3 linked regions of the Arabidopsis thaliana genome follow. The protein of the gene in region 3 interacts with the protein of the main gene of each other region in a pairwise test. Each region holds a gene or a part of one and is shown on either strand. Other genes may lie near its edges.

Region 1 (5,843 bases), about 15 Mb from region 3:
CACATATGGCTAAGGCCAATTGTTGAAATGGAAAAACAACTTGTATATTTTCTTGAGTATTAGTTTTTTTGGGGGGACAAACTTGAGTATTGTTTAATGTTGGTATATATGTTTGCGAGAACAAGCCAAATCACACACTACAATAACAGAAAAAGAGGAGCTTTGCGGGACGAGTACGGGGATTGGCGAGGAAGTTTTGCCCTGAATTTAGGGCGGTGCACGGCTCCGTTAGCAGAGCTTTGGGGTGTGTACTACGGGTTGGTTATAGCTTGGGAGAAGGGTATAACGCGGCTGGAGCTTGAGGTAGATTCAAAATTGGTGGCTGGTTTTCTCACGACAGGGATAGAAGACTCTCATCTGTTGTCATTCCTAGTACGTTTGTGCTATGGCTTCTCATCAAAGGACTGGATAGTCCGAGTTTCGCATGTTTATCGGGAAGCTAACCGTTTTGCTGACGAGTTAGCAAACTATGCTTTTAGTTTACTTTTAGGCTTTCTTTCTTTTGACTCAGGTCTTCCGTTTGTCGATTCGATTATGCGTGAGGATGCTGCAGGTGTTGCTGGGGCTAGACATGTGCCCATGTAATTTTTTATTTTTGGTTCTATTGAATAAAGACGGCAGTCCCTCCCGTTGGTTTACCAAAAAAAAAATAACAGAAAATGAAAGGAAGTCTAGCCAGGAACTGGGCCAAGGCTCTTTTGTTAACATATTTGGGCCTATGGCCATTATTCAAATGATTTAAAGGTTAATTTTTTTTTTGGGTCGTCAACTTAGGGTTGATTAAGTAAAGGTTGGCGTTCCGGAGTATTTTCTTATACTATAATTTAGATGGGTTTCTTGTAGAGTTTGTGATAACTCAAAACTATTTGATTTGTCAGAATAATACAAAATATGTATATTTTATTCTATACTAAATTGAGAGATTATCATTAAAAACGTGTTACCAGCTCCTAAACATGTATCACACTTTCAAATGTCTTCAAGTCATAATTAATATTTCATCATGTTTTTAAAATTCTACTTAGTCTTTGGTGCTCATAAATAAAAACAACTAATGTGTTGCCCGAAAAAAAAAATCAATGACCGAAAAAAAACGGGAACTGATACAGTACATGATTATATTTAACTTTCAGGCGCAAGAATTTCTCTGTTCAAAGAAAAGGTATGTAACCTTATATCCCAATACATTTTACTTTTAACACGTAATCATAAATTATCTACTCCATTAATAACACCACACTAATACCGTAATTATCGAGTCAATACGTGTTATAATATACACGACGAAGATAACACATTAATGATCACATGCAAGAGGATTTAAATAAAATGGCACGACCATACCATATACTACAGATAACATTAAAAAACAGATAATCCAAACTAAACGACTTCGAAAACATCGAGGTCTTCGTCTGTTTCTATCATATTTTAAACAATTTAAATTCAGACACAACTTCTCCACGTTTTTAAATTGTATATACATACCATTTTATTTTTTTTGATAAAATTGTATTGACATACTTCCAAGTATAACTTATTTATTTGGCATACACATATATTGTTCTTAATTTCTTCAACTAAGAAATTTCGAGCATACACCGATAATCTCCTCAGCTTGTTAATTATAGAAAAAGATATGATAAACGAAACTTATAACAGTAGATCAGTATAGTAAAAAAGGAAACGGACCGTGTCATTAATCATAAATATTAGAGGATCTCATGATACACAGGCTACTATACGCCAGGTCTGGACCCTCAGATACAATTAACATGCATACATACATACATAACCATATATTAAATATAAATATATGAGTTGGCCTAACAATGACCCGAAACCCTAGCTATATCTCATAATATATGATGTAGAAGTAAACAGACGATACCCATAATAAGATAAATTTGGTGGCCGGAAACGGATGATTAATAGCTCTCAGATTAAGTAATGCGGATTTAATAATTAAGCAAGCTCCTAATGATGGCTGCTTCGGCGCTGTTGTCGTCCGTCGAAGCCAAGAGTTCCGACAAACGGTCACTGAGGTCATCAACCTCTCTGTGTAAGTTCCTGATGTAGTTGCAAGTCTCTTGTAGTACCTTAGATGCTGACACCTGTCCAATAGTTTAAACATTTTACAATTAGTTTTAAAGTACAAAAAACGATCATTATATCCCTTACAAAGAGTACGTGACAACATGTGCTACTGCCTTTTTTCTTTCTTTGTAACAATTTCATATATATCTTCAAACTTTTAACAGAACTTTAGTTTTTTCTCATGATTGCCACTTCAATGTGCACAACGGTATAAACGGCCACAATTTATTTATCATATTCCTCAGCTATATATAGAATTATGGTGAGTATATAGGTAGAGAAGAGTAATGGGGAGACATGTAGTTAAGGTACGTGGAAGTAGGAAGGGAACAAACTGAGTCCCACACCACCAACTTGTAAAATTTAATTGCAAAAAAACATTCAAAGAACAAACAAGATATATGCATAAATGAGGCTGTGAATTAATGTTACTTTATCTACGTATAGTTAATTGTAGGCCACATGTCTACACGCCGTTGGATTTCACCATGCATATTAATTAGTTATTATATACTATATGGTTCCTATTCATTTGAACTTTCTAAGTCCATGTGCAGGCTAAGTTATACAAGTATACAAAATAAGTATGTATATGCAAGAAAGATAGATTAAAATTTGTTATTTTGAAGTGTATACCTTGTCAGAACGGCGGCGGCGAAGTTCAGGGATGAGGTGTTGGAGCTTAGAAACAAGATCGGAAATCTGATCGTCAGAGATTCTTGAGCTTCCTGACTGTCTTGAACGTGATGATCTTCTGCTAGACATCTTCTTTCTTGATATATTATAAGTGTGTTTGTTTGGGTGTAGAGAGAGAGAAGAATGCAAGAAGGATAAGTAGTTAATGTGTCAGAAAGAGAGAATGAGAGTGGAGAAGAAGGTGTTGAAGAGGGAGGAGCAAAGTGGATGTGTTTTTATAATGCAAATTTATGAAGAGAGAGAAGATCAAGAAGAAGAAGAAGAAGAATAAGAAGGAGAAGAGACAAGTGCATGGAGGGAGGGTGTGGGTTATGTTTCTTTAATAAGGGTGTCTTTAGCTTTCAAATATTTATTATTATTTGTTCTCAGTTTTTTTCATAGTCGCTTAGTACAAAAAGATACTGTTTATTTTTGGTAAGCTTCTAAACTTACTTTCCCACGAGAACAACTTCTTGATTGTTATATGTGTAAAACTCACCCACGTCAAGTTTTTTTCCTTGCTCTCTTTCTCTTATTCCTGTTCCACTTAACCTTCTTTCTTTCGAGCTATTCACATGGTGTAGTATCAACTTCAAGTCTTCAACTTAACGACCTTTATTGAAAATTTAAAGGCTACATGTTAATTTCCTTTAATTTTTCTCAATATTGAACATGACTAAACAATAGATGGATAAGAGTTGATGGAGTTTACAAATGTAAGTCCGTATAATGTGCAGAGTCTATATCAGACGACTAGTCTTATTGTATGTCTATTTTAAAAAAATTCTATTTAATAATTTATCTTATTATATATGTTTTGTGATAATGTATTCTTTTGTTTTTATGAATGAATGTAAAATTTGTTCAACAAAAAACGTTTGTATAATGAATGTGACATGGAGAATTCAAATTTTGAAACTAAATAGAAAGGGTATCAAATAACTAAGATCCAGTGCTAAACCAATAGTGATACTTTACCAAAGAGTGTTTGTATCGTCTCATACGAGTCGTATGATACGACGATTAGAACCTATCTTAAGGGATATTGTAGAGGTTTTCAGTGACTAGTGATGGGACCAAAAAAAATATATATAATAAAAAATACAACTATGCTTAAGTCAAGTCACTCGGTTCGATTTTGGCTAAACCCAAAAAAAAATCCAAACACGTATAACAATGGATTGATCCGCACTCTCTGAAATCAAAACCAAATCAAAGTCAGTCCACAAAGCTACAGAGCTTTCCAAAATCGGGCCAAGTAGAATTAATTCATTGCAACATTTTTGGCTCAACGCATCCAAGTAGAAAAAAACAAAGAATTAAAATAAGAATTGGGAAAGGGACGTAGAAAAGGAGGGGAGGGCCATGGAAAGGAGAAGAGGGATCAAGTGGGGTTTAAAATGGCAAAATGTGTGTTTATCGCCAAACTAAACTGTCCCTCTTTGCCTTCTCTCTCTGTCAGTACCACCATTGCATCCCCACGTTATATGTATTACTTCATTGTCCCTTTTTTTAATCACTTCTCTCTTTTTTACCATTTTTTTTGTATCTTTCAAACTTTTACATTGATTTTTTTTGGAAATTCAATGGTTTTGGAACATGTATAAGTTTGTTCTTCACACATCCATGTTTGACCTTTGATGTAATGTAACATCCAAATATTTTTGAAAATAATATGATTGTTATCCTATACATGATCGTGAAAAGAAAAAAAATCACTGTCATTTATAAGATTAATTATTATTTTTCTTTAGTGTGGTGGTCTATATCATGAAAAGAGTGTAGGACATATGGTACAAGAAAACACCAAAAAATGTTGAAGCCAAATTACGGATCATGTTTTGGATGTAATTACAGTTGACAACTCTGATTTTTTTAATACCTTCCATAAAAATCTGATTTTGAGTACGTAGCATGTGGTAGATGCAGAGATAGGCATTTGATTGTCGATTGGATTCAGTTCGTTGATTTTGCATTGCATTTATTATGTGGTAGATGTTTGCTTTAACTCGGATTTGATCTATTAATCTTCTTTCTTTGTTTTCGTTGTCAACAAGATATAGGTCTTGATCTATATATATGTGTGTATTTTAACTTCTGAATACTTTATTTATTTGCCATCGTTGCTGTCATTGTTTACAGAGGACCATAAATAAAAAGGACAAGATTGATCTATTTATTCATTAAAAACAAAATAAAATTACAAAATTTTCTTAATTTTTTAAGCTAAATAATGAAAATATGTATTTGTCTTTTATAAGACTTGTATTGACATAATTTGATTCTGCATGGTTTGGTATCTTTAAAGTTTGAAATTAGTATATATGTATACATGTTTTGTTTGAAAATAACCCCAAAGCTACAGGACAGATTACTTGTACCGAAAAAACTAAATCAACCTCTTGGATTACTATGAAAAGAATCATCCAATTGGAAGCGACTACTATAGTTCATATTCGGATATACATTGATATATAGACACATGTAACATGAAAATACATTGATGAACACACATTTAAAGCAATAAACAACAAAAACACTATAGGAATTGGATATCGATATCCAATTAGACTATTTGATTCGTCCAAGTCAGAATTCAAAAGGAGACATGGAAGGTTTAATTTGAATAGGAAGCTGAGAGAATGATACGGTTAATTCCGGCGGAGTGAATACAAAACATGCATATGCTACTATTAATGAGACCTACCCTTACACGCAGTCCGAGATCAGTAGCTTTCCTATTAATTAGGAACCCCATCTCTTAGTTTTATGCCGTTTTCTCTGACTTAAATTACATCATTAAAACCCACAAATTCTTCATGAAAAACCCCCCACAAATTTTGGTTATAGAAATTCGAAAAAGAATATGCCTCGAATAAATATCAATTGATAAAGTTAAATTAACTGACTACACTACTAGCTAGCTAGTACTCAGCTATAGAGAGTACACTTGTTTTCTTATACATTATTATTTCTTAAAACAAGTGTAACTTTTTCAACAAATTGTTATCTGTTTGTGGCAAACCCTAGACCGACCAATATCAAGATTTTAATGTGAAGATGCTTATCAT
Region 2 (5,843 bases), on a different chromosome or scaffold from region 3:
CTTATGTAATTTCATAAAGAATGTTCCTTCGCTTTGTTCTAAAATTTCATTCATGGCTGGTTTTTGCTGGTTAAAAAGACAGGAATGTTATGTGTTTTTACCTTTTGTCTAAATGACTCATTGTTCATGTTATTGACAGGTTCAGAACCTGATTCTTGAAATATAACAGTAATGAGATCTTCTTCTATTATCTTCGTATTGATCATTCTCTTTAGAATCTGTCGTCGTATGTAGAAGCAAGAAGATGCTTATCGGTTGCGGTAAGGGTAGGGAGCTTAACCCGAGTTGGCTCAGACGATGAATGTAAAGGAGAGAAGAGTATAGAAGTTGTCTCAGACATTCCATTGTTGAAGTCAAGCACAGTCTCTAAGCTGTAAATACTCTCTCCAGCTGCATAACCACCTAAGAGTTGATACGATCTGTCTGATTGATCCATCGTCAAACACATATCTTCTGAACCTATCATCAATCAATTCAGATTTCTTGAGTGTCACAATTAGGTTCAATTTGCTAAATGGTTTCCTCAATCAAAAATTCAAAATTCAAAACTTACAGGCAGCAAGTTCAAGCTGAGTTTGATAAACGAATTCAAGAACTGCGGAGACATCTCGCTCGAATTCATGAAACGGTCCGTCTTCGAAATTCATCTTCCTTAGCTTACATACTCCTTCTCCTAACTCCATCATCGCTCCTTTATGGTTCTTCAAATCCCAAAACACTCACTAAAATTACCTCAAACGTGAACGAAAACGAGCAATAGATGGAGTTAAAAGGAGAGTAGATTTACGTTGTTGAATAGATGGTGAAATCCAACAGCACATTGAAGAATTCCATGGATTAAGGTACGAGTTGGTTCCTCTGCTTGAATCCAAAGAGCTTCAAGCGCGTCATGACTTTTGTAATAATCCCTCTTGTTGAAGAGAGTCACTGCTTCCTCAAAGCTCCAATATTCTTCCTTATCCTCGTCACTATCCTCTTCGTCTTCTCCGGCGTGGTCGTTGTATCTGACGATTGATCTTCGACTGAAACGGACGCGTATGGAGCTAAATTTTGTGGAGGCTCGAATCGTTGAAGCAGTAACAGAGATTGGAGAAGAAGGGATTAAGGAGCTGAAGAAAGAAGATGGAGGAAGCGTGAAAGATGAAGGAACCTGGAAATGTTTCGAAGAAACTGCCATTATCAAAGTCAAAGGTCGAGCTCTGTCTCTACTGCATGGTTCTGGCTTGCGCCAGTTTTGTGGTCACCGTTTTACCAAAACTTTGTAATTGGGCCACTATTTGGGTCCTTATTTTTTATATAATTTAGGCCCATATTTTATGGCGAAGCCTTCCTCATATCATATGGTTGTCTCATTCGTAAATTATTTTTCTGCAGTAGCTTTCTCTTATGATTATCAAATTTGTTGATTATTTAGGGCTTTTATGTTGTCAAAAAAAAAAAATTAGGGCTTTTGAATACTCAAGTTTTTCCAGACATTAAGTTAAAACAAATACTGTATATTATTTAATTTTTGTTAAATAACAAATTTATGTTATCGCATTGCACTGTGTGAGATTTATCCGGACAAAACACAATGATAGAAGCAGCATAAATCATATCAGGATATGCCTTTTATTGTTTATCTTTAATACCTTAGAAATGGTATCTTATCATAATAACTTAAAGGATCATTATTATGGTAGTGGTAAAACATCATTATTATTCATAAGTAAAGATTTAAAGAATGTTCAATTTTTTGAGATTTGTTTTTGAATTTTTGAATTTTGGAAATGCAGTAATATACTATATAGTCCCAAAAGTCCGTATGTATCTTCAGTTCAATTGATGGATCATATAGAACTATTTAGAATGATGATGGTGGCAAGACAATGACCTAATTAAGGACCCTTCCTAAAAATTTCAAACTCTATAGCAACTTTTTCCCCACCAATATATATATAAATACAAAAATCAAGTATTTAACATCTAAAATAAAAAAAATAAAAAAAATAATCTACACTCTCTACCCTCTCATTTCACGTATATATAATCCATCTTTTAGGACAGAACCCACCGAAAGCTCCACAAACCCCATTAATTAACAAAAAACCAAAAGAAGGCGGCGCAAACAAAAGATAATGCAACCAGAGACCTCAGATCAGATGTTGTACTCGTTTCTTGCCGGAAACGAAGTCGGCGGTGGAGGGTACTGCGTCTCCGGCGACTACATGACGACTATGCAGAGCTTATGTGGGTCTTCGTCGTCGACGTCATCGTATTACCCACTGGCGATCTCCGGCATCGGAGAAACGATGGCTCAAGACAGAGCTTTAGCTGCTTTGAGGAACCACAAAGAAGCTGAGAGAAGAAGGAGAGAGAGGATCAATTCTCATCTCAACAAGCTTCGTAACGTACTCTCTTGTAATTCTAAGGTAATATAAACTTTTGATACTTTTTCATTTGGCGTATGTATCTCTCCTCGTACATATGATGTTTATACATCTGTACGTATATATTTCTTTGAAATTTTAAGAAAAGATTTTTGAAATGGGTATATAATTAGGGTTTTGCATCTTCTCTAACCCAGAGTTTACATCTTTAAAATTTTCTCATGTTTCATTCGATTTGGTGTTAGCTCATGAATACTGTACTTTTTCATGATAACATTTTATAATCATTTGGTTTCAATTGAGTCTTTTTTGTCTTACTATTCTTACTTATTAACAAGCACATATTTATCAAAGATGATCCCTAATTTTCTACATTTATAATTCTAAAGATTGATATATATTTTGATTTGAATATTCAAAACTGGCGAGTAGTGATCAGATGAGAAAAACGAAAAGCTTCATGGCCTTTTTGTGAAGCTCGTTGGGATAGTATATCACTTTTTGGGAAAGTTCTCAAGCTTTTTCAGTTGATTTGATTTGATACAAACATCAAATTTCAACTTCTTGATCCAAACTTTTCATTGTAATTTCATGTTTCTATTTTCAGACCGATAAAGCCACACTGCTCGCCAAAGTAGTTCAACGAGTCAGAGAACTTAAACAGCAAACCCTAGAGACCTCCGACTCCGACCAAACATTATTACCATCAGAGACCGACGAAATTAGTGTTCTACACTTTGGAGACTATTCAAACGACGGTCATATAATCTTCAAAGCCTCTCTATGTTGTGAAGATAGATCAGATCTCTTGCCGGACCTTATGGAGATTCTCAAGTCTCTTAACATGAAGACTCTCCGAGCTGAGATGGTAACCATTGGTGGTCGGACAAGAAGTGTTCTTGTCGTAGCTGCTGACAAAGAGATGCACGGCGTCGAGTCTGTGCATTTTTTGCAAAATGCTCTCAAGTCGCTGCTTGAGCGGTCAAGCAAGTCGTTGATGGAACGTAGTTCTGGTGGTGGAGGAGGAGAACGGTCAAAGCGGCGTCGTGCGCTGGATCACATCATAATGGTGTGAAATGATGAGAATTGAGCACACTAAAAAGTCTATAATTGATTAATATATATAGGGTATGATCATAATTAACTTGGTTATAATTACCAAAACCTTTTTTATTCCTCTTTAATAATATATATGTTATATGGTTTTAGTTACTAAGTCTTGGGAGTGTAAGCAAATGTTGTAAGTAGGTTTGGTGTGTTCTTTTTCTTTTCTTTTTTTTTTCTTTTTCAAGAAAAAGAAAAAGATCTATATTATATATAAAGAATATTTGTCATGTTATTTTCCTCTATTTATATATATCTTTTTGGTTGTTGGTGTGATGACTAGGGTTTTGAGATTGTGGGAATATTTGTCGACGTAGAAGAATCTAAGTAACAGATGTGATTGGTGAAGTCCAAAAGAAACTAGGGTACTTCGATTTACATATACACACTATACATGTGAATATATATGTATATATAGTGAAGAGAAGGTCTATGTTTGTATGCTGTGAGTTTCAAAGCGACCCTTATGTCACCTTTGTCCCCAAATGAATCCAAACTCTCCTATCTCTTTCTTTGTTCATGTCTTTCTAAATGTGTACATTTGACCACATTTTTCAGACCAAAGAATATAAGCAGTGCCTGGTTTTCTTTCTTTCTTATATATTCGTATATATCCATGTGATTATGACGAACTGTTTTACTTTTAGTTGAGATTAATTAAGTGTTAGCGAAATGTCTAGTCTACTGTTTTTGTTGATCATATGGAAAAGACGTGCATTTATGCATGACACAAAAATGCTTAAACGTATATTCGAAAAAGTAACACTTTATATACGTTGTATATTTAGGACGCCAAATTTCATATTATGTACGGCTACATGTACAATGAAAGTGTGATGAGACTTGAGAGGATTAACCAAAAATACTGAAAACTTACTTTAATTTACTTTCTTTTAGTTTATTTTACTAATCGAATTTTGGCTCTAAAGTTTCGTGTGAATAAGAAGAATATGTTAGAATGTATAATGATGTGTATCCGTATCTAGTGAGGTTTGTACATATCTGTTATATTTATAATGAAAGTGTTTTGAAATATTGTAGAGATACTATGTTTGCTATGTATCTCTATTCTGGTTTCTTCAATAGGTATCCGTTTTGTTTATAGAAAATGGCTCACCAACTTGCCTCTATGGGAGGCTGGGGATATATGAACCAAATGACTCAATAATATAGCCAATTAGACCATTAGTAAATTGGAATATATATGAAGAAGAAGGTGAATGTGGGATTAAAGGAAGAGGAAGCGTGAGAAAAGGAGACTGACAAAAGGAAATAAAATTGATGGGCCATTGGCTCTATGAGACAAAAAGGACCGACTCTTCTCATCACTCTCCCTTTTCCCTTTCTCTCTTTTTTAATAATTGTTTTCTATAAACTATAATTTTATGGCGAATTTAATAAAATAATATTGAAGAAAACTAAGAGAAGAAGAAGAAGGAAAAAAAAAGGTGGAGAAAGTTTGTCCATGGAGCGTGATGGTTTTGGGGCAGCTGGTGTCCCCTCTATACTCAACCTCTCGACCAAAAAGTATATCTTATAGAAATATTTTTAGCTTTTGCACTATATATTATTGTTAAAGTTATATTTGTATTCAACTCAAAAGAAACTATAGAAAAACTTCTAATTTTTTTAAAAATTCCTTCTGAAGTTTATGGGTAGTGTGGCAAAAGCAATCATTAACCTCACACGTTAGTGTTCCATCGTGTGAACATGTGAGTGCCCTTTCTTATCTCACCACACAATTTTGACCATCCTATTTCCTTTTTGAATATCACTATTTTTTCTTTGTGTTTACTTTGTTTTATCTACATTTCACAAACAAGCAAATAGAAGTTATCATATTATATGTCAAATATGTGTTTGTTTTCATGTGTTCTTATTGTCTTTCTTGGTCAAGTGTTCTTGTTTACCTACACAGACAAATGTGGGAACCTTTTCACTTACTTCGGGGTTTTACCGGAAAGTTAGAAAACCTTACTAAATTATTGCTTTGCTATTAACAAAGATATCTTACTCATTCTTTAAACCAGTGTTTCATTTTGTCCATTGTCAGAACTTATATTCATTTTAACGTTTTAATTGATCTATCGTAGTAGTGAACCATCTCTAAAATAAAAATTCAATACTAATTGAAAATCTAAAACCAATAGATATTAAGAAATCATTTGTTAAATTAACTTACATCTATACATCTATATATGCGACTACTGTCTAGTTTATCTGGAATCCACAATATGTTTTTTGTTTCTCCAAAAACTTTTTGATAACTTTAAAAATCTAGTAAATGCAACATTTTCTAACCTTTTAAAGTATATTTGAGGGTTAAACCGAGAATTAAGACTTACAAGTCTTGGGATAATCACTCTATAA
Region 3 (5,843 bases):
GAAGAAGCTTCAATTTCGCCACCAAATTTCACAAATATCAACAAAAATCAATTTCTCTCTCTCTCTCGAAACCCTAAAAACAGATTGAGGATTTGATCTTTGTTCAACTTTTTATTTATATACAGTGTCTCCCCTTTATCCTCGTCAAGGATAACGGGCATCTATTTTCTGATTCAGTCAGTTAACTGTTATCCACCCAAAACGGTGTCGTTACGTTCCTTTTTTCTTTAAATGGGCCTTCTTTCTTTGTCTTAGTCAATGTTTTAAAGCCCATACAATCTTCTTCTTTTTTTTCCACGAGCCCATACAATCTTCTTTGATGTAATGTTACTACTATTTATCAACAGATTCTTGTGTTGTTGTTGTAACAAAAAGAAAGAAAATCAAAGTGGTAGGTATTATACTATGATAATAAATCATCATGTTTGGTGTGGTGTTGAAAGAGCTGAACAAGTGAGTACAAGACTTGAATCCTTGTGACTTGTGGCTTTGCCTGTACGATGAAGTGTGCCCATATTTGTCCTTTTCTTGTTTCCATCACTCCTTTCAATATCTTCAATCCCAATCCTCTCACCACTTGTCCTATCTCCAAGAACTCCTCTCTTTCCTCACACACCATCTCTATCTGCATTTCTCCTTCCCTGTTCAATTCCTCCACCATTATCGGACATACCACTCCTTCTTCCCCCACTTCCAACGCCCATGTTCTCTCTTTCTCCTTCACCAGCTGATAAACATCATTCACTCATCAATACTCAAACACTTGTGTACTTACTGAATGGATATATTTGATTCATTACCTTAGACTCGTATGGTTGTTTGAGTCTCTCTGCATACTTGGCGAGGCTTTGCATGAACACCATGTGTTTTATGGTCAGATCCAGCAACGTATCTATGCTACACTGTTTAAATATATATCGAAACTTATTAGAGAATGCATTTGTTAATCTATAATTTGGATGCCCTAAACTAAACTATATTATTATTCAATTTACCTTAGCTCCATTTGGAATCATCCCTCGCAACTCCTTGATACGGTCTTGTATCATCTGACGGTCCTTAGGCCTCGGCCTCCTGCTTTCTCCTGCCTTTGCTCTTTTCTTCTTCACACCTTCTTCGTGAGGCTTCTTCCAGTTCCCTCCAATACTTGATCTCTCATCATCATCAATCCACAAACTCCGACTTGTTACTGTCTCCTCCTGAGGGAACAAGCTTGAGCTATGCGCCGATGATGTATCAAGCTTCCGTCTTTTGCTCTGGTTCACACCAGAGTACTCTTGCACGTTCGTGAGAGAACTACTACAAGTGTTGTTGCTAAGACTGCTGCTTATGAGCTCTGAGAAGAGTCCTTTAGGTGGCAAAGCCATTGTAGGCGTTTGAGAATTCATCCCCAAAATGTCGAAAAGATCCTTGTCAACTCCTTGGATCACCATGGAAGAGCAGTTCTGTTCTGGTGGATCAGCGAGCAGCTGGTATAGATCGTCCAGAGAGTAAGACTGGAGAATGTCGAACCCATAATCATCTCCATTGGTCAGATCTTGGTTGGAAGAAGCTGCTTCAGAGGAGATCATCTCAGGGCTGAGCAAAGAAGGAGGATTGTCCTCAGCGAAGATGTCATCAAAGCTAAATCCTTGAAAAGATTCAGCTGGGAAAATCTCACAATCTCCCAGTGACTCAAACAGAGTATCGAGATCACCGGAATCATGTGGCTTTAAACACGTCTCCTGGAGAGCTCTTGTTGTTTGTTCCAATATCTCTGTGCTCTCAAGAATCTAAAGATTGATAGTAAGTAATTAGACCATGACTTCCACAACAAGAAAACATTGTTATATAATTATATATGCAAACCTTTTGAGTAGATCCTAGCTGAACAACGCCGCTGGATCCTAGTGGAATGATTGCGATAGTCTGTGTATAAGTAAACTGCCGTATAAGAATCTGATTCAAAATGGATATATGAATCCTTAAACTTGGAGAGAAGACAAAATATAAATTACCTTAAAGCCACAGAGAAACTGATTCTGAAACTCATGTTCCCACTGCAAAACAATCAAACGCACGAATATCAAATCTTTTTTCTTCTTCATCATGAAATGTTCTATGCAGTCACTATATTTCGACATACATTATAGCTCACAGATGAGAAAAATCAAACACCAAGAAAAAGAAGTGAACAAACCTGAAACAATGTGTCTGAGAACAGCCATTGATGGTTTCCGGATGAAGCTACTTCTCCCACAATTCTAATTTCATCAAAAGAAAAGTATATTGAAGATATATAAACACAAACACAGAGACAGATATATAAAAGATTTGAGTGAAGTGTAAAAGCATACCCTTGGCCTAAGATAGGAGCCTGGAGAACCATATCATCAACTAGTGCGACTGATTGTTCATCATTGTATGCTTCTTCAAATCTCAATATCCTGATGGAATTCAACAAAACTAAATTACATTTATGGACACCAAAGTAGGGAAGCCACATATAAAACCAGAGGATATGCAATTCAGTCTTTTGCCTAAATCAACGGAAAACAAAACTAGTTTTATGCAAATATTATCCAAGACAGGAACATGCATATAACATTCGAAAGAAAAAAGAGAGAAATTACATGGAATTGATGGGATCATAACGCCAAAACACAGCATAAGACCATCCATGGCTTAAACAGAGACTCTTCAATATATGCTTATACTCTGAACCCATATTTAGGAATCCAAGCCGGGAAGAGCCCTTTTAATTTCTGCAGGATCTCGAACTCTTAAAAAGGACAACAACTTTTGTCTTCTCCAGAAACCAAACTCCAAAGATAAAGAAAAGCTGGAAACAGAGGAAAAATGTGGGTTTTTGAGTTTTCTCTTTTTTTCTTTAATTTTCTGCAGATAGAAAAAAATACAGAGAAAATTCCTTTGAGTTTTGCTTTTTGTTCAAGCAATTAAAAAGGAGTTAAGAGCTTTGTCTCTCTATATATATAACCAAACAATAACATGAAATGTTTGTAATTCGATAAGAAGTGGAAGAGCCTTTTTGTCTGAGGAATTAAATATATTACTATTATTTATTTGATGTGATTTGTCTGCCGGTGTCCAGTCACGCTTTTGTCCCGGAAGTGACGTGAATTACACCGGCTATTGCCGGTTTAGTGAAAAAGTTTGCTTTGATTACTATATATTTATTTGTTGTCTTTTGAAAAATTTAGGACGGGAGAGGATCTTCGAGGGTATAATTTCCATAAAGGGAGATTTTATTTTGATTTTACTTTTTATCATCGATTCATTAAATACTCGATACGAATTTATGATATACTTTAATAGTATTCAATATATTTAGATATGATTAATTAACTAACATTTGATGAAAATTTCTATAGTGGAAACTGGTGCAATGGAAAAATAAAAATGAGGAGAATGTGATCCCCACAACAGAGGAAGATAAATGGTGCTGTGGAGTTTCTAGCGATCATCTTCTCCCTCGTATCCTATATCTTGAACATCATATTAAAGCTTAACATCGACCGTTTTTGGTTGGAAAATATGGTTTAGAGTTATAAAGAAAGAATGACCGCCTCTTTAGTGTATGGGCCAATGAGGTTCCCAAAATATGTGTCACCTAAATCTTGAATTCTCGGTATGATAATCTTGACTTAAGTAGTTCTCAAATCTCGATCCACTGCCTCATATAATTATATCAACAGTCTAACACCAATGTCGTCAGCAGTCACATACATTCGTAGAGTATGCATTCATATATAAGCCAGATATATACATATCATAAGAGATTTGTTATACCTATATTCATCCAAATGTTTAGTTGTGGTCTCTTGTGGTACCAACCTAAAAAAAATAAGGTTATGCTTCCGCCTTAAGTCTTGAGAGCTACTATCTTTTTTCTTTAATATAACTAAACATCTTATTATTATCAGGAAACCATGCATGTTTAATTTTAAGTTTATATAGAAGATCACAAGCAAGGAAAAATGTGAATGTTAAATAGACTTGAACATTAGTTCATGAATAGTATTAAACGTGTTTTAATTTGTTACTTTATTACTTTATTTTAGCTATTTATTTGTACATGGTGCTATTTTGTACCTATGTTTTGAGTTTTCAATGGATTATTTATATCTTAAAACTTTATACTATATAAACTCTGATATCAACCTTCGAATTTCATGATTTTACTGAATATTACTATGGAAATACGATATAAAATAGAATTTAGAGAACATCAAAGGCATATATAGCAAACGTTAGAAATACATGCCTCAATATTTGAGACCCATTTTTGTTACTCGCAAGTCGCGCAACATCTCACACCACACATTACATGCCTAAGCCTAAGTGCCACAAATACATCACCTTTAAAAAAAAAAAAAAAAAACTTCTCGGCCTAAGCTAATGTACATGCACTTAATACACTTTTAGCTTCTTGATAGTGGTAGAGAATATCAATAGATATCCACAAATCTTGAAATGGAATAAGTGATTATAATTACATATCAAATGAAGAAAAACTCATCAATCAATTTATTTTTTGGGGTTATTAGAAATAGCCATAATTTGGTCTCTTATACTCATCACACGCTCAATCATGGCCGTTGAGAACAAAAGTCAACGGCATCAAGATTTTCACCTTAATCCTTTTTCGTCTTTAGTTGATTTATTGTCCCTTTTCGAAACTTTCCGTTCTTATTACAATTGTGTCCGAAAGTGGTGAAATAAATCCAAAAGTTGGATTTTATGTTGTACACTTGCTTTTTGTTAGATAAGCTATTTTAAAACTTTTCGTTAAAATATGTGACTAGAGAACATATTTTTCTGTCAAAAACAAAACAAAATTCCTTTATCGCTTAAAACTTAAGAGTAACTCTAACTAACTACCATTAGTCCACATATATATGTACTAAGATAGAGATAGTGTTGGATTCATACTTTTCTTTAAATTTAGAGTATTTTATTCATAATATACATAATTTTTGTTAGATTTGATAATATATTTTTACTATGACAGTTGCAAATATGTATTGTTTATGTGACAAATTCTTTATTCAATGAGTTGTGGAAAACAAGGTAAAACTTATTATATAATCCAATCATATTTTTAAAAACAACTACAAAATATTACGAATTTATATGTCATGGTTAACCGCTAAAAACTTCATCTTTGAAAGCACACAAAATTTTTAAAATCTTTTGCATTTGACTCTTAATTTGTTCGAAAAAATAGCTATGGAGAATATGTAAACTTTTTCTATATGAGAAAAATTTGTGGTTATTAGTCTCCTTTGTTATTGCTTTAGGTTCTGTGTCTTTTGTTCGATATCTATTATGAGACCAATTTTTGTTAGCCCTATACCCTAGTCTACATAAAATAGAAATGAGTTTCAGAGTTAATTTATACTTTCCATGTTTTAAAAAGAATGATGTTTTGGATTTTTCACCCAATTTAAAAAAGAATATTTTTTATTTTTATTATAAGTTTAGTGATATTAAAACTATTTTCTTGGTTGACAAATGAAAGTAATAATGAACTTGATACGAATAAGAAGAAGAAAAACTCCAAAAATCAATTTTCTAGTTTACACAACATGCATCCCCTCGAGGTCAACATCTTTAAGACTTCATGTAATATCCGTGTTTTCGTAATTTATCTTAATTCTAATATTTAAGGCTTAACTTATTTTAATCTTTCTTATTTTTGTTATCGTATATAATGATTCACCTTTTTTCTTGGTCTTTTTGTGTTCCATTGGAAACCAAGATAGTGAATCACATTTTATTGATGGAACATCAATTTCAATTATTGTGTCATTTCTTACAAACTGGGAAAATAAAACGTACTG

Evidence for each region.
Region 1: the proteins of AT1G64625 (region 3) and KDR interact in a two-hybrid assay, tested with the Arabidopsis thaliana proteins (one large-scale study listed by BioGRID).
Region 2: the proteins of AT1G64625 (region 3) and AT2G41130 interact in a two-hybrid assay, tested with the Arabidopsis thaliana proteins (one large-scale study listed by BioGRID).

Annotation. Positions count from the first base shown.
Region 1 is NC_003070.9:9,348,590-9,354,432, reverse strand, and holds KDR (basic helix-loop-helix (bHLH) DNA-binding superfamily protein), read right to left. Parts: upstream 3,274-5,843; 5' UTR 2,863-3,273; coding exon 2,734-2,862; intron 2,115-2,733; coding exon 1,959-2,114; 3' UTR 1,600-1,958; downstream 1-1,599. UniProt on the Arabidopsis thaliana protein: Atypical and probable non DNA-binding bHLH transcription factor that regulates light-mediated responses in day light conditions by binding and inhibiting the activity of the bHLH transcription factor HFR1, a critical regulator of light signaling and shade avoidance.
Region 2 is NC_003071.7:17,141,243-17,147,085, forward strand, and holds AT2G41130 (basic helix-loop-helix (bHLH) DNA-binding superfamily protein), read left to right. Parts: upstream 1-1,914; 5' UTR 1,915-2,117; coding exon 2,118-2,411; intron 2,412-2,976; coding exon 2,977-3,444; 3' UTR 3,445-4,041; downstream 4,042-5,843. Other genes in the region: AT2G41120 (DUF309 domain protein), read right to left, coding at 212-459, 554-701, 788-1,177.
Region 3 is NC_003070.9:24,013,742-24,019,584, reverse strand, and holds AT1G64625 (Serine/threonine-protein kinase WNK (With No Lysine)-like protein), read right to left. Parts: upstream 2,930-5,843; 5' UTR 2,708-2,929; coding exon 2,613-2,707; intron 2,427-2,612; coding exon 2,337-2,426; intron 2,244-2,336; coding exon 2,180-2,243; intron 2,040-2,179; coding exon 1,998-2,039; intron 1,939-1,997; coding exon 1,849-1,938; intron 1,773-1,848; coding exon 996-1,772; intron 903-995; coding exon 801-902; coding exon of another isoform or gene 756-800; exon of another isoform or gene 728-755; coding exon 404-727; 3' UTR 314-403; downstream 1-313. UniProt on the Arabidopsis thaliana protein: Transcription factor that may regulate root development.